3 linked regions of the Anolis sagrei genome follow. The protein of the gene in region 1 interacts with the protein of each later gene in a biochemical or structural test. Links are inferred from orthologs where the notes say so. Each region holds a gene or a part of one and is shown on either strand. Other genes may lie near its edges.

The links. The genes of interacting proteins can lie anywhere in the genome.
Region 2: the proteins of NR0B2 (region 1) and SMARCA2 form a complex in vitro, tested with the Homo sapiens proteins (2 studies listed by BioGRID). The link is inferred for Anolis sagrei from reciprocal best matches to the Homo sapiens genes NR0B2 and SMARCA2.
Region 3: the proteins of NR0B2 (region 1) and HDAC3 form a complex in vitro, tested with the Homo sapiens proteins (2 studies listed by BioGRID). The link is inferred for Anolis sagrei from reciprocal best matches to the Homo sapiens genes NR0B2 and HDAC3.

What each region holds. Positions count from the first base shown.
Region 1 is NC_090034.1:72,711,747-72,719,671, forward strand, and holds the start of NR0B2 (nuclear receptor subfamily 0 group B member 2), read left to right. Parts: upstream 1-4,867; 5' UTR 4,868-5,169; coding exon 5,170-5,692; intron 5,693-7,925. UniProt on the Homo sapiens protein: Transcriptional regulator that acts as a negative regulator of receptor-dependent signaling pathways. Specifically inhibits transactivation of the nuclear receptor with which it interacts.
Region 2 is NC_090022.1:220,641,741-220,649,404, forward strand, and holds the start of SMARCA2 (probable global transcription activator SNF2L2), read right to left. Parts: upstream 3,074-7,664; 5' UTR 2,927-3,073; intron 1-2,926. UniProt on the Homo sapiens protein: ATPase involved in transcriptional activation and repression of select genes by chromatin remodeling (alteration of DNA-nucleosome topology).
Region 3 is NC_090024.1:135,120,209-135,127,559, forward strand, and holds the start of HDAC3 (histone deacetylase 3), read left to right. Parts: upstream 1-4,278; 5' UTR 4,279-4,351; coding exon 4,352-4,406; intron 4,407-7,351. UniProt on the Homo sapiens protein: Histone deacetylase that catalyzes the deacetylation of lysine residues on the N-terminal part of the core histones (H2A, H2B, H3 and H4), and some other non-histone substrates.

The sequences.
Region 1 (7,925 bases):
ATAAAACTTATATGGATTGTAGCATAGGTATTACATTATTTTTCCGCATAATCACCATTCAGTTCAATACATTTTGTCATCCATGGGATGGGTTTTTGATGCCTGTGTTATAGAAGTTTCCCTCCACCTTTTTCGGCCAGTTCGTCACTTCGATTTTCACCTCCTCCTCATCAGAAAACACCCAGGTGTTCCTTCAATTTAGGTAATCACAGGGTACACGATCGGGGCTGTGAGAGGGGTGGCTTAAAACATCCCAGTGAAATAAGGTCAACAACTCTTGTATTGCATTAGCGATGCGGATGCATGTTGTCATGAAGGAGACAAGACTCCCACCGTCAGCATCCCATGATATTTGTTTTGGATGGCTCTACAAAATTTCTTCATGGTCTCACAATATAGCGGTGGTCAGGGGAGCTTTTCAACAATTAAAACTTGTGCGCCAGCTGCGCCCGTACCTTGGGAAGTCTGACGTGGCCACGGTGGTCCACGCTTTGGTTACATCCCGTTTAGATTACTGCAACGCTCTCTACGTGGGGTTGCCTATGAAGACTGCCTGGAAGCTCCAACTAGTCCAACGAGCGGCAGCCAGAATGCTAACACGAGCAGGATACAGGGAGCATACTACTCCTCTGTTGCGCCAGCTCCACTGGCTGCCAATTAGCTTCCGAGCACAATTCAAAGTGCTGGTGTTAACCTATAAAGCCCTAAACGACTCCGGCCCAGTTTACCTGTCCGAACGTATTCTCCCCTATGAACCATCTAGGTTGTTAAGATAGTCTGGAGGGGCCCTGCTCTCGGTCCCACCGGCCTCTCAGGCGTGTCTGGTGGGGACGAGGGACAGGGCCTTCTCGGTGGTGGCCCCATGACTCTGGAACTCTTTCCCACTGGAGATCAGAACTGCCCCCTCCATTCTGTCGTTCAGAAAACGGGTGAAAACCTGTCTATGGGGTTTGGCTTTCGACGAGTGAATCAATATTTCTGTGATCGGATAGATGACGATGAATGATGGACAACAAATTCACTATGACGACTGACCATTGTTATTATGTGATTGCATTTTGCTATTATAACGTTTTAATTGAATATGCCATATGATGTTTTTAATGATTGTTTTGTGATTTTATTGTTGGAAACCGAGTCCCCCGATAGAGGGGAGAAGACCGGTATACAAAATTGCTAAATAATAAAATAAATAAATAAATATACCGTACCCAATTGTCACATGCTGTCTTGACATGACATCCTCTCCATAAACTGAAATGATTTCGCAATGAATTGCAGTGGCATTCATGCATTTAGGTAGCATATTACAGCACAAGCTTCGCACTTGGAGGGAAACGGAATGAGGATGCTCATCTCTAACCTTCACCACAATGCCAGTCAATGAGCTACTGACGACTGGCACTGCTCGTTCACTCCCGCTTGCTTCCTGCTACACAGCAGTGATACCAACTTTCCCTGAGAAAATTCTCCATGAGAGCTACATGCTAAGTGCTAAGTGCCTGGATAAAAAGTTAAAGGGGAAAAACTTAGACAAAAGAGGGGATTGGATAAAGGTTGGAATGAAGAAGGAAATGGTTATGGAAGAATTTAGAGAAATAGAATTGACATGGTTCCATTGTATACAATTAGAACAATGGTTTAAAAATTGGGGAAAAAATAATAAAAACAGAAGTAAGCTTAACCAATTTGAACAAATAATACAAAATGGAAGGGTTGTAGAGAAGCATGAAAATTTGAAAGGAGTAACTAGTAAAGTATATAAGATAATTGAAATAAAGAAAGGAAAAACAAAAAATTACACCTGCAAGGAGGTTTGGGAAGAAGATTTAGGGATAAAAATAAATGAAACAGTGGCAACAATTATGGAGACAAAGACATCTAAAAATGTATCAATATGGGTTAAAGAAAATTATTATAAGCTAATATGGAAATGGTACCTAACACCAGTAAGAATAGCAAATATAAATAAAAACTATTCAAAAAATTGCTGGAGAGGATGTCAAGAATCAGGAACATATATACATATGTGGTGGCAATGTAAATATGTAAATAATGTTTGGGGGAAAGTATTTAGAGAAATAGAAGATATAATGAACATTAAAATAGAAAGAAGTCCTAGTATAGCTTTATTATCATTATATAATAATAAACAATTTAAAAAAGAGGATAAAGATGCGATAACGAATTTATTAACAATAGCAAGATTGCTTATAGCAAGGAATTGGAAAAGAGAAATAAATATACAAACAGAGGAGTGGTACAAGGAAGTATGGAAATTGGCAATAAATGCTAAGCTGACATGTATTTTAAAAGTTAAAAGGGGTATATGGAAACAAAGTGATTTTGATGGAGAAAATTTATTGAAAAGGATTGAAAAATAAAGAAGGAAAGTTACCTCCACAAGAAGAATTGAAATTTTGGACAGATGATATGTAAAAGCCGTGGCTTTGGGGGGGGGGGGGAGTACAGCGGTGAGGGTTAGAAAATACTTATAAGCAGAAAAATAATACGAGATGCCAAAAGTTAAAGCATGGTAGGTTGTATTGAATAATATTTATCTGCTGTAAAACAAACACTGTATAACAAATGTATTGAATCATGATAAAATAATAAAAATATAAAAAAGAGGAGCCATCTTCCATGATGTGATGAGTCAAAGCTTAGTATTTTCAAAACATAAGAATCCCATCTTAATACACTATGCATCCAGAAATATGGTGTGGTGTGGGTGAGTGTGTGTGTATAGTATATCCCAATACGATAAGGTCCTAAGAGAGCCTTTGGAAAGGACTGTATAAGGGTTACTTACTTACTTACTTAGGCGATCCCTCGTAGTCCGAGGATGATGGTCCTCCAAGTTCGGTGTCCTGGCGGTGGGTCCGTAGGTGACTGTGGAGCCCTATTCTTGATCTGCATCTTCTTTCGCAGTGAGGGCATTGGTTTCCAGGTGGAAGGCGGTCTCAGTTGGGGTTAGCTTGACGCGCCTTCCTCTTGGCACATTTCTCTTTCACCCGCCATTCGTGCCTCTTCAAATTCTGCAGCACTGCTGGTCACAGCTGACCTCCAGCTGGAGCACTCAAAGGCCAGGGCTTCCCAGTTCTCAGTGTCTATGCCAGAGTTTTTGAGGTTGGCTTTGAGCCCATCTTTAAATCTCTTTTCCTGCCCACCAACATTCCGTTTTCTGTTCTTGAGTTCGGAGTAGAGCAACTGCTTTGGGATACGGTGGTTGGGCATCCGGACAATGTGGCCAGTCCAGCAGAGTTGATGGCGGAGGACCATCTCTTCAATGCTGGTGGTCTTTGCTTCTTCCAGCACACTGACATTTGTCCGCTTGTCTTCCCAAGATATTTGCAGGATTTTTTCGGAGACAGCGCTGATGGAATCGTTCCAGGAGTTGCATGTGATGTCTGTAGACAGTCCATGTTTCACAGGCATATAGCAGGGTTGGGAGGACAATAGCTTTATAAACAAGCACCTTGGTCTCCCTATGGATGTCCTGGTCCTCAAACACTCCCTGCTTCATTCGGAAAAATGCTGCACTCGCAGAGCTCAGGTGGTGGTGTATTTCAGTGTCGATGTTGACTTTGGTGGAGAGGTGGCTGCCAAGGTAGCGGAAATGGTCAACATTTTCTAGTGTTACCCCATGAAGCTGTATCTCTGGCATTGGAGAGGGGTTGGCTGGTGACAGCTGGAACAGCACTTTGGTTTTCTCGATGTTTAATGGCAGGCCGAGCTTCTCATATGCTTCTGTGAAGGTGTTTAGAGTGGTTTGTAGATCTTTTGAATGTGCACAGAGGATGTTGTCATCAGCATACTGGAGTTCTATAACAGATGTTGTAACCTTTGTTTTGGCTTTCAGTCTGCTGAGGTTAAACAGCCTGCCATCTGTCCGATAGATGATTTCCACTCTGGTGGGAAGCTTCCCATCAACAAGATGGGAAGCTTCCCACCTTCCATCTTCATCTCATAGCGATGAAGATGGAGAATAAAGTTGGGGTAATATAAGGGTAAAAAGCTGTTAACAGCATTGCAAGTGGTAGTTTCACTATGCTCTATGCTGCCAGTCTTTTACAACATTTTTCCCCTGCTGGAAGTTGCAAGCTTTCCTTTTTTTCTCTCTCCTGATCTGAGAACAGGCCATTGACCCCATTCCTGTGTGCTTTATGACCATTCACTGACTGCAGGGCTCCCTGTCGTGGTGCACCGGTGTGTCACGCCTTGTCATTTCACAAATCTTTGAAAGGCCTTGATTGTTCACTGGCTCTTACGGCTGGCACTCAACTAACTTTCCTCCTATTGTGTAATTTTATGTGTAAGACCTGATCTGTGCAAATCTGATTATCATATCTTCGGTTCATTGATTAATGGGGTGCAATGTGATCACCTGTTGGATCAAAATCCAGGAGAAATAGGGGAGACAGAAACAGGTGCATGCAGTTTTGCATAAAAGGAAGAGGTGTAGCCACTGTAGTATGTGTATTCTTCAGTAGAAGCCTCATAATACTTGGTCTGTTAGGTGTTTTTGGTCTCCCCACCCTTTCTTCATTATCAGCAAAGAGCAACTGTCTGAGTTAAACAAACAACTCACAGATAAATTGACTTCCAGGTTGCTGGTTCCAAGGCTAAATCTTTATGAGCTGTTTTGCCACTGGGCTGTCTTTCTTGGGCTGTAAATGGAGTGTGTCTGTGTACATACTCCTTGGCAGTGACCCCGGCCATATCCTGAAACCTGATTACACACCTGAAGCCTTGGTGCCTTGGTACAGGCTGGGTTAATGACTTTGTTTATACTGATAAGGACAATTGAGATAAATGTAGTCCCCTGGGTCTCCTGGCCCCGGCTGGCACCTTCATTGAGAAAACCTTTCTCCGGGCCACGTGAAGTCTCCGTTTCTCCCCAGCCAATTGGTTCAGGGTTGACTTGTTTTTCAATGAGCCGGTGGCTGCTTGTCAAAGGGAGGTCAAGGCTGCTAGTGGGGGTGGTTTCCAATCATCCCTTCAGGGGCCTTATAAGTGAAGCTGGGAAACGGCAGCTACAGAAAAGACGGGAGAAACTGTGGAGTGAGCAAAAGGTGTGGTAGGACCAAGACAGTTGCCAAGCCACCTGTATAGGGAAAGCGTTTGCTTTTCAGATAGCGGTTCCTTACGTTCTTCTCCAACCTGATCATGGAGTGCGAAAAGTGCCCGTGGCACCATGAAGAAAACCAGAACGCCATCCTCTACACCCTCCTGAGCCAGAACTTGAGCCCCAACAGGAGCAGCGCTGGCTTTTCCCAACAGAGCTGCATGTGCCACAAGCGCCGCACGGTCTGCCTCCGGACCCCTCAAGTGACCTGCCAGGCAGCCTCTGATGTCTTGGTGAAGACCATCACCTTTGTGAAGAACCTGCCGTCCTTCCAGCTACTGCCCTGGGATGACCAGCTCCTGCTGCTAGATAGCTGCTGGGCACCTCTCTTCCTTCTGGGGCTGGTCCAGGAGATGGTGACCTTTGAGGTGATGGAGACCCCTGCCCCCAGCATGCTGGAGAGGATCCTCCTCGATGGGCCCTGCAAGAGGCAAGAGCCGCAGAGGACACAGCCCACACTGGCCAGTGTGCAGCGGCTACAGTGCTGCTTGAACTCTTTCTATAGCCTGGACCTGAGCCCTAAAGAATATGCCTATCTGAAAGGCGCCATTCTTTTCAACCCTGGTAAGTCCTGCTTGAACCCATGTGCAGTAAGAAGGTCTGTGAGAAACGGGCCAGCTTTTCATAAAAAATAGGAGGGAAGAGGAAAGCCAGTATGGTGTAGAGCAGCATTTCTCAGACTTCCTAATGCCACGATCCCTGAGTACAGTTCCTCATGTTGTGGTGACCCCCAATCATATTATTATTTTTGTGTCAAGAGTGCCATGAGAAACTAAATTGTTTCTGATGTGAGAGAATTGACCATCTCAAGGACATTGCCCAGGGTACACACCAGGGTGTTTGATGTTTTACCATCCTTGTGGAAGGCTTCTCTCATGTCCCCGCATTGGGAGCTGGAGCTGACAGATGGAGTTTATCCGCACTCTCCCCAGATTCAAACCTCCAACCTGCCAGCAGAAGGGTTTAACCCACTGTGCTACCGAGGGCTCCATTATTTTAGTTGCTGCTTCATAACTGTGATTTTTGCTACTGTTATGAATCATAATGTAAATATCTCATATGCAGGATGTATTTTCGTTCACTGGAACAAATTTGGCACAAATCCCCAATACACCCAAATTTGAAAGTTTGGGGGGTCGATTTTGTTGTTTGGCAGTTATAGTTGCTGGGATTTATAGTTCACCTGCAATCAAAAGAGCATTCTGAACTCCATGAACTATGGCATTGAACTAAACTTGGCACACAGAACTCCCATGACCAACAGAAAATACTGAAAGGGTTTGGTGGGCATTGACCTTGAGTTTTGGAGTTGTAGTTCACCTACACCCAGAGAGCACTGTGGACTCAAACAATGATGGATCAGGACCAACCTTGGCACGAATATGCAATATGCCCAAATGGGAACACTGGTGGAGTATGTGGAAAATAGACTTCGACATTTGGGAGTTGTAGTTGCTGGGATTTATAGTTCACATACAATCAAAGAGCATTCTGAACTCCACCAACGATGGGATTGTCACACAGAACTGCCATGACCAACAGAAAGTACTGTGTTTTCTGATGGTCTTTGGTAACCCCTCATGAGCCCCCCAGGGGTACCAACCTTCATAAGGCTCACATTTATTTATCTTGCAATTTTGTTGATGAAAAATTATAGGACAGCTTTACTAGAGTAACAGCAAACCGTAACAGGTGTCACCCCTGCAGGATGAGATATTGATAAAGGTGTGCCGTTACAAGTGACCTGTAGAAAAAAGATACCAGGTGGTACATCAATGGCAATGTTGGTTGTAATTTCTGATATCCAGAGCATGAGCAATCATGTTCTGATTACAAGTCCCATAATATCTGGTTGGAGTTGTAAGCTAAAGTATTATTGCAGCCTCCCGTTAGGAAAGAGATTATGCCAGGTATGGGCAAACCCAGGTCTGGGGTCGGATGTGGCCCCTTGCGCTGTTTTCTTAGGTTGTGTCACTATCCTATCCTTCCTTCCTTCTCGCTTTCCTTCCTCCTTCTCTTCCTTACCTCCCTCTTTCTCCATCCCTTCAACCCTGTTGTCCTTCCTTCCTTTCCTTCCTCTCCCCCTTTCTCCTTCCTGTTGTCTGTCCTTCCTTCTCTCTTTCCCCCCTCCCCTCCCTCCATTCCCTCTTCCTTCCCTTCCTCCCTTTCTTTCTTCTCTTTTTCCTTCTTCCTTTCCCTATTGAGGATATTGAACTGGGAGAAGAGAAGGTAGAGAGGGAACATGAGAACCATGTTTCAAGATTTCAAAGGGTCTCCCATTGAAGAGGAGGGGAAAACTGACTTTCTGCTGCTCTAGAGACCAGGGCACAAGGGAGCAATGGTTTCAAATGGCAGGGAAAGAGATTTGACTGAAAAGCTGAGGAAGAACTTCCTGTGAGTAAGAGCTGTTAGAGAGTGGTGTAGGCTACCTAGGAGTGTGGTGGAGTCTCCTTCTCTGGAGGCTTTTCCGCAGAGTCTATCAGGAGTGCTTTGATTGTGCTTCCCTGCATGGCAAAGGGTTGGACTGGATGGCTCTTGGGGTTCTCTTCCAGCTCTAGGATTCTATATCAGGAGTAGGCAATAGGGGTCCCATGGATACACATTTTCTCTCCTGTCCACCATCTCATCCTGACCAAGGCCAACCCTTTTGGGATCCAAACATTTCCTGTTTTTCCTTCACTTTCTGCCTCTGAAAGAGAAGAGGAAGGGGAGGAAAGGGTAGGGAGGAGACTTGGGGGAGAACCCCCTTCCTCCCAGCTCGCCCACCCTGTTCCAGCCCAGACAGGAAAAAGCCTCC
Region 2 (7,664 bases), on another chromosome or scaffold:
CCACCCCTGACCTTTCACAGATATATAAACCTCACTTGCCTAGTTTCCAACAGACCTCACAACCTCTGAGGATGCCTGTCATAGATGCAGATGAAACATCAGGAGGGACATTCTGGAACATGGCCATACAACCTGGGAAACTCACAGCAACCCACTTCTTAGCTCGATTTCTCTCTCCCTGTTTATTGAAAAGGCACACAACTTCTTAACCTTTAGAGAGAAGGGGGATTTCAAACCAAGGCAGCCTTCCAGGTCTAGCAATCTATTTCTTTACTGACTTATTATTTACTTTTGGCCAGCACTGTCTGATGTGTCAACATGTTTAGATCTCCCTCTGTTTATTGCAAGGACCAACTACTTCTTTACCTTGACAGGAGAGGGGATTTCCAAAGCCACACAGCTCCCCGCCTACCAATCTCGATCAGTTTTCCTCTCCCTAGTGACTGAATAGGCTGGGTATTTCTTTACCTTCCGGGATTTCAAACCAGCACAGCCTAATCTAGCAACACATCCAGATCTGTTTATCTCTCCCTAGTTATTGAATAGGCCAAGCGCAGCTTAGCCTTCATCAGGGTGGATTTCAAGCCATCCCAGCACTCCTCCTCCACAGAACTAGAAATATATCTGGTTTTCTCTCTAGAGATCTAGTTAACTACTTCTTCGCCTTAGCCACGGCCAAGCCCCCCCCCCTCAATCTAGCAACACATTTGCTCAATTTATGCCTCCCTACTTATTAAAAGAGGCCAACACAGCTCATTTGCCTTTGCCACTGGGAGAGGGGGGAGGGATGCTTCAAACCAATGCCCCCCATCTGCCAAACTGTGTTTACCTACTTATGTCAGAGGTCAGCTACTTCTTTACTTTCTCCATTGGCAAAAGGAGGGGGGAATCTGTTGGGGATTCCAAATGAACATAGCCTGATCTAGCAACCTCTTTAGATCTGTTTATCTCTCCCTACTCACTGAAGAGGCCTAGTACACATTTGCCTGTGCGTGGATTTCAACCCAACACAGGCAACAGACCTAGCTCTGGGTTGCTGTGAGTTTTCTGGGCTGCATTGCCATGTTCCAGAAGCATTCTCTTCTGATGTTTTGCCTGCATCTGTGGCAGGCATCTTCAGAGGTTGTGAGGTCTGTTGGGAACGAGGCAAGTAAGGTTTATATATCTGTGGAAAGTCCAAGGTGCAAGAAAGAACTCTTGTCTGCTTGAAGCAAGAGTGAATGTTGCAGCTGACCAGCTTGGTGAGAATTGAATGGCCTTGCAGCTTCAAAGCCTGGCTGCTTCCTGCCTGGGAGGGTATTAGCTGGCCCTGCCTGGACTCAAGCAGACAAGTGTTCTTTCTCCCACTTTGGACCTTCCACAGACATATAAACCCCACTTGCCTAGTTTCCAACAGACCCTTCAACCCCTGAGGATACCTGCCATAGATGTGGGCAATACGTCAGGAGAGAATGCTTCTAAAGCATGCCAATACTGCCCGGAAAACTCACAGCAACCCAGTGATTGCGGCCATGAATCCTTCGACAACAGACCTAGCTCTATGCCTCCCTCTTTACTCATTTCAGAGGCCAACTGTTTATTTATCTTCTCCACGAGGAAAGGGGACGTTTGTGGAGGGATTTCAAATCAGCACAGCCTGATTTAGCAACGCATCCAGATCTGTTTATCCCTCCCTAGTTATTGAACAAGCCAAGTACCTCTTAGCTAGCAACATCAACAGATCTATGTGGCTCCCCCCTCCCACACCCCGCACAACCTAAACACACACACACACACACAATCTAGCAACAGATCTATCTCCATGTATCTCTCCCTACTCATTATCTAAGAGGCCAGTTATCCTCGCCAGGAGGGAAAGGGGATTTCAAAGCCACACAGCCCGATCTAGCGACATCTTTAGAGCGATGCCTCTCTGCCTACATATGGCCAGGGGGGCAAGCAAGTCCTGCGATCTAGTGTGAGTGTGTGTGTGTGTTTATGTGTGACAGACTGGGAGATTATCCGGATCATGGCCTCCTTGTTGCTGGAACGGGAGAACCCTGCTGTTGCCCCTTGGGCTAGCTCTCCAAACTCTCAAAAGCCCAGGCAAAATAACAACAGCAGCAGCAACAATAATATAATAATTTAATAATAGATGGGCTCCGGCGCTTTGCTCGGGGCAAGAGCCAACTTCCAGCACTCTTTTTTGCTCCCAAGAGGCATCCACAAGAGCAAACCTTTCCACCTTCGTCTCAGCCTTCCTGCAATTACCCCCTTCCCCAAAATAAAGGGTCGCCAAAGGGGAAAGGAAACAGACTGTCGCTCTCCCATCGCTCCAATCCAGAGAGGAAAGGCAGCCAGCCAGCGTTGCAAGAAGCCTTCCTCCTCCTCCTCCTCCTCCTCTTCCTAGCAGCTTGTTCCTAGAGCTATTTCTGGCTGCTTTTGGGAGCCAAAGCCCTAAAGGAGGAGGAGGAGGAGGAGGAGGAGGAAGAGGATGGGGCCGCTGCCTGCCTGCCTGCCTCTTGCAGCAGCCGAGAGCCCTTTGCCAGGTCGAGCTGACTCACCCCGCCAGCCCCCTGCTTCGGAGGGAAGGTCACGATCCGGCGTGGATCCTCTTTGGCAGCCTCCAGGCAACCCGGATCAAACTTTGGCCCCATCTACACTGCCCTGTAATGCAGTTTTGCGACTGCCTTGCAGGGCCGGCGTGCAGACTCACGTCCTGCAGTTTGAACCGAGTCTCAAGCCGCATTATAGGGCCGTGTAGATGAGGCCCTCTTTTCTGGAGGAGAAGCCACAGCGAGAGAGAGTCTCCGAGGGAGGAAAGAAGGGGGGGGGGTGGAGGGGTTGCACAATCCAAAGCCAACTCTCTGCTCCCCTCCTCCATCCCAACAGAGGAAATAAATAAATACATCCAGGGTGGCAGGAGAAAGTTGTAAACAAGCGGTACCTTTCCGGGGGAGAGCGGTGCGGTGCGGTGCTGGATGCCTCCCTCTCTGAGTCACCCGGAGTACAGCTCCGGCGAGGGGAACTCGATTATGAATATGACTTCATTGATGACAGGCGAGCCCTCCTCTTCCTAAACTCCCGGCCCGCCTCCTGGCTCCGCCCACTGCCTTAGCTCCCGCCCCTCCCTCTTCGGAAAAGGCAGGCGCGCTCCCATTGGTCCAATTGCGCGGCAAGCTCCCCCGCCCCCTCTAAAGCCGAACGCGGCGCCGGGTTGGATAGAGAGAGCTGTCCATCAAAAGCTTACAGTCGCGCGCTCTTGTTTTCAAGAATTGTGGAGACAAGCTAAGCGAGAGGCGGAGGGGGAATGTCGTGCGTACGCGCATGCGCGGGAAGGAAGCGAGCAGTGCTCGAGGCTGTCCCTGCCTTGTGCGCGCAGAATAGAGCGGAAGGTCTTCGCTGCAGAATTAATACGGTTTGGCACCACTTTAGTTGCCACGGCTCAGAGCTATGGAATCCTGGGAGTTGTAGTTTGGTGAGGGACAAAGCACTCTTGGGCAGAGTAGTCTAAAACGTCGCTGTTCCCACGATTATTGAGCCAGGCAATGAAAGTGGGGCCAAACTACATTATGGCCCCTCTTTTTTCATCTGTCCCTTTGGGGCAGGAAGGAGGGCGGACTGCCAAAAGCAACCCATTTGTGCCAATCAGCTGCCCTTTCAACTTTCAAGTATCCCTTGATGAAGTCCTGGCACCAAGAGCTTGTTTGCTAAGCATACACCCAGATGGAGAAGCAGCATTGAAAGCTATTCTAGAAATGTGTTGTCGAAGACTTTCATGGCCAGAATCATTGGGTTGCTGTGAGTTTTCCGGGCTGTATGGCCATGTTCCAGAAGCATTCTCTGCTGACATTTCACCTGCATCTATAGCAGACATCCTGAGAGGTTGTGAGGTCTGTTGGAAACTAGGCAAGTGGGGTTTATATAGCTGTGGGAGAAAGAGCTCTTGTCTGTGGAGGCAGGAACAATGGCTTCAAACTACAAGAAAGGAGGTTCCACCTGAACATTAAGAAGAACTTCCTGACTGTGAGAGCTGTTCAGCAGTGGAACTCTCTGCCCCGGAGTGTGGTGGAGGCTCCTTCTTTGGAAGCTTTTAAACAGGGGCTGGATGGCCATCTGTCAGGGGTGCTTTGAATGCAATATTCCTGCTTCTTGGCAGGGGATTGGACTGGATGGCCCATGAGGTCTCTTCCAACTCTTATGATTCTATGATTCTAGGTGTGAATGGTGCAATTGGCCACCTTGATTAGCTTTAAATGGCCCTGCAGCTTCAAAACCTGGCTGGTTGCTGCCTGGGGGGATCCAGTGCTCAAACACAAATCAAGGAACATGAAAGGCACTGCAGACTAATTCGACCAGATAATTCAGCCATAGCAGAGTACCTGATGAACCAACCTGGACACAGCATAATATTTGAGAACATAAAATGCTGGACCGCCCTAACAACCACCATGTCAGGCTACACAGAGAAGCCATTGAAATTCACAAGCATGTGGACAATTTCAATGGAAAGGAGAAAACCATGAAAATGAACAAAACTTGGCAACCAGTATTAAAAACTCTCAAATCAGGACAGTAAATAAAGATCAACACAAAAAGCAGGGAAATTCCAGACAAGAATCAATCAGGGCTGGCTAACACTGCCCAACAAAGGATTCCCCCCAGGCATCAACCAGCTTTGAAGCTACAATGCTATTAAATGCTAATCAAGGTGGCCATTTGCAACATTCACAGTAGCCTCAAGCAGACACCCTGGACATATAAACCACACTTACTTAGTTTCCAACAGATCTCTCAACCTCTGAGAATGTCTGCCATAGATGAATGCGAAATGTCAAGAGAGAATGTTTCTGGAACATGGCCATACAGCCCAGAAAACTCACAGCTATCCTAGGAATGCAGTCTGTATGGTAAAGAACCTGCTCTGGGGTCAGAAGGGAATCTGCTGCTTGGGGCTATTGAAAGCAAGGCCCCATCTACACTGACTATTTCATGCAATTCGAAGCAGGCTTCAAACTGCTGCAGCCAGGAAATAAACTCCTACAAAAGCATGTGAAAGAAAGCCCTTAATGTGAACCAGTGCTCTGTAGTTTGTGTTATCAGCACTGTTTGTGTCTCAAACTGGTTCCAGGATTTCCTATTTAATCACCTGCACATATTCCTTCAATACTATTTTGAAACCGTATTAAATGGTCAGCATAGATGGGATTTAAGTGATAGAATTTGATTCATCGCTCACAGTTTTAAAACACATTAGAAATGACTGCTCTTTGACCAACTCCTCCCCTTGATGCAAAGTAACATGTTAAAAAGAAAGGGAGAGGATGCAATCATGGCTCTGCGTTCTTGGGAAGGTCTGTCATTGGCCAAATCCTCCTTTTAGTTCAGCCTCAATAAGAATTGTTCTGCAAGAGTGTAGAAATCAGCAGGCCCATTACATTCTGCCTACTGTGCTTAGCTGGCTCATAAAATTCCATCTCTGCCAATCATCCCCAGAAGTGTTGCATCTGAGAGAGATTTCCATCTAGCTAGAATAATGAATGCCGTGGTCATCTTATCAGAATTATCCTCTGGTTTGATTTTGCAAGAGAACTCAGTGGCAAAGCAAAAGAGCAGGCAAAATCACAAGGGTTTTTTTATGAGTCCGTTACCTGGACAATAAAGTGTAGATTGGGGTGAGGGGTATAAATGTGGCCACATAACCCATATAAAAAACCCCACACAATACAGTGCTATAATTGGCTGATTCGTGCCAGCGGGGCAAGCTTCGCCGAGCCCTGTCACCTGTGAAGAAAGGCTGTTCTGGAGGCAGGTGCCATAGAAACCTTTTGCTGAAACAAGGAGAGCTGGCAATCATTCGTGGCTGGACATTCCTACTGGCATTTCAGCATTCCCAGAATAAGTGTGTCAGCAGAACAGGTGTGAGATATGTTCCCATCTGGGGTGGAAAACCCAAACAATGCTTTGTGCGGCCAACTTGTCCTCTGATCCTTCTCAACACTGATGAGGCACCAGCGCTCTTTAGCAGAGAAGGTTAAACACCTTGTAAAACAACATTTCTCACAATTCCTTAGCACTGAGCTACAGCAGTGGAAGTAAAGAAAGGCGAAACAAGCTGTCTTGAAAAGAAATTAAGGCATATTGCTTTAAAAATGCCAGGTGCTGTCTGATCAGGGGCAGATGCGGTTAGTTCTTGGAACTCACCAAAGAATACCAGGTACTGTAGGTTATTACTATTATAATAATATAGATTATATTCACAGCAAACCTTCTCTGAAACATCCAATGGCTGGTGTTGGCTCCCTTGTTAGGGGTTTGCAAGTCTTTTAGTCTGAATTTTGAAGCAGATCTCAAGGCATTGAATCTAGTTGAGGAATGGGGTTCAAGCGTAATAGTGAATTCCTCTAAAGCAGTGTTTCTCAACCTTCCTAATGCCGCGACCCCTTAATACAGTTCCTCATGTTGTGCTGACCCCCAACCATAAAATTATTTTCATTGCTACTTCATAACTGTAATTTTGCTACTGTTATGAATTATAATGTAAATATCTGATATGCAGGATGTATTTTCATTCATTGGACCAAATTTGGCACAAATAACCGATACGCCCAAATTTGAATACTGGTAGGGTTGGTGAGGAGATTGATTTTGTCATTTGGGAGAGGTAGTTGCTGGGATTTGTTATATTTTATTATGCTTGTATTTTATTGTGTCTTTGTTTTAATGGACTATTTTGCTTTTACTTTTTGGGGACCTTCTGTCCTGTATGTAAGCCACCCCGAGTCCCTTCGGTGAGATGGTGGGGGGGGGGGGGGTATAAGATTAAAGTTATTATATTGTTATTATTTATAGTTAACTTGCAATCAAGGAGCATTCTGAACTCCACCAACGATGGAACTGAACCAAACTTGGCACACAGAACTCCCATGACCAACAGAAAATACTGGGTTTGGTGGGCATTGACCTTGAGTTTTGGAGTTGTAGTTCACCTACATCCAGAGAACATAGTGGACTCAAACAACGATGGACCTGGACCAAACTTGGTACAAAGACTCAATGTGCCCAAATGTGAACACTGGTGGAGTTTGGGGAAAACAGACCTTGACATTTGAGAGTTGTAGTAGGTGGGATTTATAGTTCACCTACAATCAAAGAGCCCCTTGAACCCCACCAACAATGGAATTGGGCCAAACTTCCCACACAGAACCCCCTTGATGAAAAGAAAATACTGTGTTTTGTGGTGGTCTTTGGCGACCCCTTTGACACCCTCTCGCTCTAAAGTTTGGAGTAAATCTTTGAGCATATTTGCTTTTTTACTAAAATGGAAGACAGTGGCCACCACTCTAAAATACAATGGAGAAATATGCACAAGAAAGGCTAAGACACTGCTTAGGACTATGGAATGTCCTTCCCTTGAAGTCCTGATTGGTGCCAAGACTGATTTCATTCAGGTGTCAAGTAAAACTTGACTGTTCATCAATGCCTTCGGGCCTCATTGATTTATCTCCAATAATAATGTACATGGTTTTAAATTGTTTTAATCATTTAACTCTGGGCAGATTATCTGCTTTGATGATGATGATGATGATGATGATGATGATGATTTATTTCTAGACCACCCTCTCTCCCTGAAGGGACTCAGCGTGGTTTATACATACAAAAAGGCAAGCAGGTGAGTACAAACA
Region 3 (7,351 bases), on another chromosome or scaffold:
AAAATGGTTCTGGGTTCCATATTTGTTATCCAAGAAAACCATATGCACAAGGTCCAAATATACAAATTTGAATGAAATAATTGATATTGATAGATGCAATAAATGGGATATGTATGTCCTTTAACAGTAAAACAAGTTGAACCATGTGCATTGGAAATGGCAGATGCAATCTGCAGGTTACAAAAGCTAAAGCCCAAAACCATGGTATATGACAATGGAATGTAATGCCTATGTGCTATATCACCTAATGATTTATATTGGTGGAAACACAGAACACCACTGGTATGATATCTTTATAGGATACATCTAATAGTATGGATAGGGATACTTATATTGCTGCCAATCATTTGGATCTTATGGCCTCTTAGACGAATGACAGGATTGACAAATCGATTATCTATATTTGAAAACAAGTTAACGTGTTTAGAAACACAATTATGAACTATGATGTTTGATTAATCATACAAGTTCAATATTAACCTAAACATATATACTCTACACTTAATCAAGTTTGATTATAAGTATAACCAACACTGAATTGCTTATCATGTATGGATCATGTATGTGATACGATAAATTAGCATTTATGTATCAAGGGGAGGAATATGTGAGGAATGAATGTTTGAATGCATGGAAAAGAGAAGAAACAGGCCTGAAGAAAAACCAACGTGGAGTTCTCACAAGGCATAATATGGGACGAACTTGGCAGTCGAAGCGAGGAGACAGTAAGGCATAACTGAACAACAATGGACAATGAGGTATGCGGCCGAGCATGTAAGGAGTGCAGGAGGTACCCCATAAGTCATGAGGCCTGAAATGCAAATGTCTTGAACTTTGGAGAGAACAAAGACATATTGTCCTTTAGTAAGAGGACAGAGCAACCTGACTGTTGAAATGAAGAAAAATGGATTTTGGCCTATAAATGCAGGGGACCCCTGACAATCTCCATGCTTCCTGAACTGCAGCAATGGAGCGTCCACGCTTCCTCAGAAAAGACTGATCATCTTCGCCGGAGGAGGCCTGTGTGTGCATGAGTATGAATGAATGTGTGTGTGCACGAGAGCTCTCCTTGATGTGATTCTGATATGATTCTATGACTTGGGCTGTAGCATCCTGATGCCATACCTGTGCCAAGAAGAAACTTGTGTGACTCTAAATACTACAGTTGCCGTTAGTACACATTTAGGACATTACCCCACCTGTGAGAAGATTGTTGCTTTTGTACAATCTATCTACTCCCCAACAGGTGAAAGTTGGTGGAATTGGCTAACCTCAGGGTTACCAGATTTCGGATGGCTAAAGGGATTGTTCCTGGGTATAGTCCTGTTGATTATTGTATTTTTTATAATTGTGATGTGTTTTCCCATCATCATGAAGATGTGTTATAAGTTTGTGCCTCTCCTCTGGCCTGCAGAAGACCAGAAGCTAAGAGGAGATAATGTATCTAGATGACACAAGATACCCAGGGTGGGTTAAGAACGCCCAGGGAGTACCCAGGGTGGGTTAACACGCAAAATGCTTATCTGTAACAATAATGTGTGTGTTTACGTAGTTTGTAGAAGGTTAGCAGTGAAAGACACTGGAGTGGCAAAATATGAGAAAAACATGTTTTTGAATGGTTGATCCGATAAGAGAGGTGTGTGCCCATGACACAGTGAAAAGACATGTATATAAGGAGACTGAAATATCCAAATATCAGAGACAGCCTTTTTGAAGACACTGGTTTGTCTTGGTTGTTTCTCCCTGTGTGGCCACACTTGAAATAAAGAGATTTCTGCTTTACCTCTGGAGACTAGACTCTCTTCATTTTGCTGCCCTCTGTGACGGACTCAGCAAGGACCCCAAGCAGGGGGTCCCCTACAACTGCAACCCAGCTTTTGCACTTTTTTTCACTGTGATTACAAGGCTCCTCAGCTCCTCCTCACTTTCGGCCATCAAAGTGGTACAGGGTGAGGCAGCATAACTTCCTTTTTTAAAATGCGCACCATTCAGTCGGTGGAAGCACTAGTGGAGCACTAGTGGAGCACTAGTGGTCTCGTTTGAGAGGCGGGAGTATAAAGTTTTGTCCTGACACAGTTCAGTCGCCATCATGCGTTGGAACAGTGAGGAGCGTGCTTTTGCCGTTAAGGCCTACTTTTCGAGCGGATTTGGAGTGGCCGGGCTGCTCTCCAGATTTGACCCCTTGTGATTTTTTTCTATGAGGTTTTTGAAATCCTGTGTTTATGTGAACTATCCAAGGACCCTACAAGATTTGAAGACCAACACCAGGAAGAAATTGCCAACGTAACGCCTGCTATGCTGGCAAGAGTCATGACAAATGCTAGAAATTGGTTTACTCAGTGTATGAAGAATGGAGAATGGGGGACGTCACCTACCTAATTTGATCTTCAAAACTACGTAAAACAAAACCTTAGGTATGCACCTACATTATAAAAAAAAAATCTGATTCATACAATGGGTTTTATTAAGTTTTTAAAAAAGGAAGTTATGCTGCCTCACCCTGTGCAAAGTCTGTCACTGCCTCCACGTTTTCTCATTCTATTTATTTATTATTTATTATTTATTATTTGAACTTATATGCCGTCACTCCCCTGGGGCTCAGAGCAGCTTACAAGAATGGCTAAAATCTAACAAAATTTATGTTGATAATGGACAAAATAACTGTATTGTTAAGAGGAGAAATGCTAGACAACTTCGTTAATGAATGGCAACCAATGATTCAACACCTTAATGTAAAGTTAAATTAAAAATGTATATAGAGGATCCTATAAGACTGTAGACAAGGAAGAAGTGGATGCAAAGTAAGAATCTATGATATCTTTTTATGTAATATTTAGATAGTAGACTGTGACCCCTTAATAGAAATATACTATGAGATAAAGGAATATAGAACATTAATAGATGGCGAGTATTGCACTGTATGCAACAAACATTTGCAAATGTATGTTTTCTTAAATAAAATTAAATAAAAATGGAAAAAAAATCTAACAAAATTTAAAAGCAATTTAAAACAATTTAAAAACAGCAATATCAAACATTAAAAGCCTGTCGAAATAGGTATGTCTTACATGCCCTGCGGAAAGCTGGTAAGTCCCACAAGGCACGGACTTCAGGTGGCAGAGTATTCCAGAGTGATGGTGCCACTGCTGTGAAGTCTCTGCGTCTGGTTGCTGTTAGATGCAAGGTCTTGACACTGGGGACTTCCAATAGATCTTGGTCCTCAGAACGGAGGGATCTCTGGAGTTGGTAGGGGGTGAGGCGGTCCCTCAGGTACATCGGCCCCAGACCATGCAAGGCCTTAAAAATGAATACCATCACTTTGAAAGTGATCTGGTGCTCAATTGGTAACCAATGCAGCTGTAGTAAGATTGGTGTTATGTGGCATCTCATCGGAATTCCCGCAAGAAGCCGAGCAGCAGCATTTTGTACCAACTTGAGCTTCCGGATCACCGGCAGAGGAAGGCCAATGTAGAGGCCGTTACAGTAGTCCAGTCTTGAGATGACCGTGGCCTGGATCACCGTAGCTAGGTCGTCCCTGGACAGGTAGGGGGCCAGCCGTCTAGCCTGCCGCAGATGAAAAAATGCAGTTCTGCTAACAGCAGAGACCTGGGCCCCCATCGTCAGCAGAGGTTCCAAAAGGACTCCCAGACTCTTTACCAATGATGATGGGCCAGTTATCAATCATTCTGGTTGCCAGAATCTTGGTTTTTTTTTAATGTTTAGCTGCAACCCAGTTTTTGCACTTCCTTCTTTCACCTTGATTACAAGGCTCCTCAGCTCTTCGCTTTCGACCATCAAAGTGGTATCATCTGCATATCTAAGGTTGTTTATGTTTCTACCAGCAATTTTTACCCCAGCCTTACATTCATCAAGCCCTGCACATCACATGATGTGTTCTGAATACAAGTTTAATAGGTTGGGTGAGATTAATTGTATTAGATAGATTTAATATTTTAATCTTTTTTCATTCTTTTGCATTTTATCAATTGTAGTTGTAATTGATCCATTTTGTAATGAATATTTTGTAAATAAAAGCACTCCTGGTTTCCATTTCCCTATGCAGAGACTTGGGGAAGGTTTATTTAAACAAGGAGCCCCAACAATCAATGTCAACACTTCAGAAGCCCAAAGAAGGGATCCTGACGTAAAACGAAAAGAGACGAATGCTGACATTTGCCTGGGCCGCTGGTCAAATATCGCGAGAGTTTGCTGAGACTCGAGTAAGCACCCGCCCCCAAAAGGCGGGCGAGAGAGCGCACTCTCCTCTGTCACTGCCTGCGTAATGACGTAGGACGCTGTGGGCGGGGCTACGCGGCCCGTGGGGCGTCCGTTACTCGGGCGGGCGGGCGGCATGGCGAAGACGGTGGCCTACTTCTACGACCCTGATGTAGGCAACTTCCACTACGGTGCGTGCGCGCGCGCGGAGGCAGAGTGACGTTGGGCCTTTGAGGAGCGGGGGGGCTCCTGGCCGGAAAAGGCCCCCCGTGGCTTCTTAGGAAGAGAAACCATTCTTCCAGGAGGAGGGGCGGGGGGCTTCAAGAGGCTTCAAGAGGGAAACTTGTGGAAAGATATTTTCCTTACCGAGGTTTACTGTGTGCCCTCCCCACTCCCTGGATGCTGCACTTGGGTACCAAGGCCCTGAGGCGGAAGGCCTTGCCCTGGGAATGCTGCTGAATGTACTGAATGCACTTTGAGACCACTTTTAGGGTCTTTTTACAAGGTCTTGGGCCTTCTCTGCCCAAACTATGACTCCCAGGATGCCATATAATAATATAATGTAGTATAATATATTGTATATACATATAATATTTATAACTAGCTGTCCCCTGCCACGCGTTGCTGTGGCCCACATGGGAGTTCTGTGTGGGAAGTTCAACCCAATTCTATCGTTGGTGGGTTTCAGAATGCTCCGTGATTGAAGGTGAACTGTAAATCCCAGCAACTACAACTCCCAAATTTCAAGATTCTATTTTCCCCAAACTCCACCAGTGTTCACATTTGAGCATATTGAGTGTTCGTGTAGAGCAGTGGTTCTTAACCTTCCTAATGCCGTGACCCCTTAATACAGTCCCTCATGTTGTGGTGACCCCCAACCACAATATTGTTTTTGTTGCTCCTTCATAACAGTCATTTTCCTACTGTTATAAATCATAATGTAAATATCAGATATGCAAGATGTATTTTCATTCACTGGACCAAACTGGGCACCCACATGTAAATGCTAGTGGGGTTGGGGGAGGATTGATTTTGTAATTTGGGAGTTGTAGTTGCTGGGATTTATAGTTCACCTATAACCAAAGAGCATTCTGAACTCCACAAATGATGGATTTGAACCTAATTTGCCACACAGAACTCCCATGACCAACAGAAAACACTGGAAGGGTTTGGTGGGTATTGACCTTGAGTTTGGGAGTTGTAGTTCACCTATATCCAGAGAGCACTGTGGACTCACGCAATGGTGGATCTGGACCAAACTTGGCACAAATACTCAATATGCACAAATGTGAACACTGGTGGAGCCTGGGGAAAATAGACCTTGACTTTTGGGAGTTGTAGTTGCTGGGATTTATAGTTCATTACAAACAAAGAATATTCTGAACTCCACCAACGATAAAATTGGCTCAAACTTCCTATATGGAATCCCCATGACCATCAGAAAATACTGTGTTTTCTGATGGTCTTTGGTGACCCCTCTGACACCCCTTCGCGACCCCCTCAGGGGTTCCGACCCCCAGGTTGAGAAACACTGGTGTAGAGTTTGGTCCTGATCCATCATTGTTTGAGTCCACAGTGATCTCTGGATGTAGGTGAACTACAACTACAACTCCAAAACCAAAGGACACTGCCCACCAAACGCTTCCAGTATCTTCTGTTGGTTATGGAACTGTGTGCCAAGTTTGGTTCAATTCCATCGTTGGTGGTGTTCAGAATGCTCTTTGATTGTAGGTAAACTATACATCCCAGCAACTTATATTGCAATATAATGGTATAGTGCAATATAGTAATATATGCTGATATTGTACTATGCTAATAATATAATGTATGAAAATATATATTGTAAGCCGCTCTGAGTCCCCTTCGGGTGACATATAAATGCCATAAATAAATAAATAAACTACAACTCCCAAATGACAACATCAATTTTTTGAGTGAAGGACATAAATTGGGTTGTTAGGTCTATCATGTCCAAATTTGGTGTCAATTTCCCCAGTGGTTTATGAGTTCTGTGAATACCACAAACGAACATTACATTTTTATTTATATAGATATTTCTAGCCGTCCCCTGCCACGCGTTGCTGTGGTCCAGTCTGGTGATCTGGAAAATAAAGTCATGAGAAAGTGTTGGTTTCTAATATATGTAATTTCTTTATGCTTGTGGGTAAACAGTATTTCGTGATGTTTCTTTGTCAGTGTTGATGTGGAGAGTGTCTGGTTTGCCTACTCTGAAATATGCAGCATATCATAGTCCATCTTTAGGGGTCCCTTTCAAATCTATGAAGCTATATCTCTCTCTGTGTGTGAATAATATCTATCTATATCTATGGCCGAATGGCTCTTTGTCTGAAGGGCTTTGATTAGATTTCTTGCCCTGGTGAAGAGAGTTGGACTGGATGGCCTTAAGTATATTCTGTTGGTCATGGGGGTTCTGTGTGGGAAGTTTGTCCCGATTCTGTCATTTGTGGGGTTCAGAATGCTCTTTTATTGTAAAAGGTAAAGGTAGTCCCCTGACGTTAAGTCCAGTCATGTCTGACTCTGGGGTGTAGTGCTCATCTCCATTTCTAAGCCGAAGAGCCAGCATTGTCCGTAGACACCTCCAAGGTCATGTGGCCGGCATGACTGCACAGAGCGCCGTTACCTTCCTGCTGGAGCGGTACCTATTGATCTACTCACATTTGCATGTTTTCGAACTGCTAGGTTGGCAGAAGCTAGGGCTGACAGCGGAAGCTCACGCCGCTCCCCGGAATCGAACCTGCGACCTTTTGATCAACAAGCTCAGCAGCTCAGTGCTTTAACCCACTGCGCCACCGGGGGCTTTTATTGTAGGTGAACTATAAATCCCAGTAACTACAACTCCCAAATTTCATGATTCTATGTTCCCCAAACTCCACCAGTGTTTACATTTGAGCATATTGAGTATTCGTGTAGAGTTTGGTCCAGATCCACCATTGTTTGAGTCCACAGTGATCTCTGGATGTAAGTGAACTACAACTGCAAAACCAAAGGACACTGCCCACCAAACGCTTCCAGTATTTTCTGTTGGTTATGGAACTGTGTGCCAAGTTTGGTTCAACTCCATCGGTGGTGTTCAGAATGCTCTTTGATTGTAGGTAAACTATAAATCCTAGCAAAT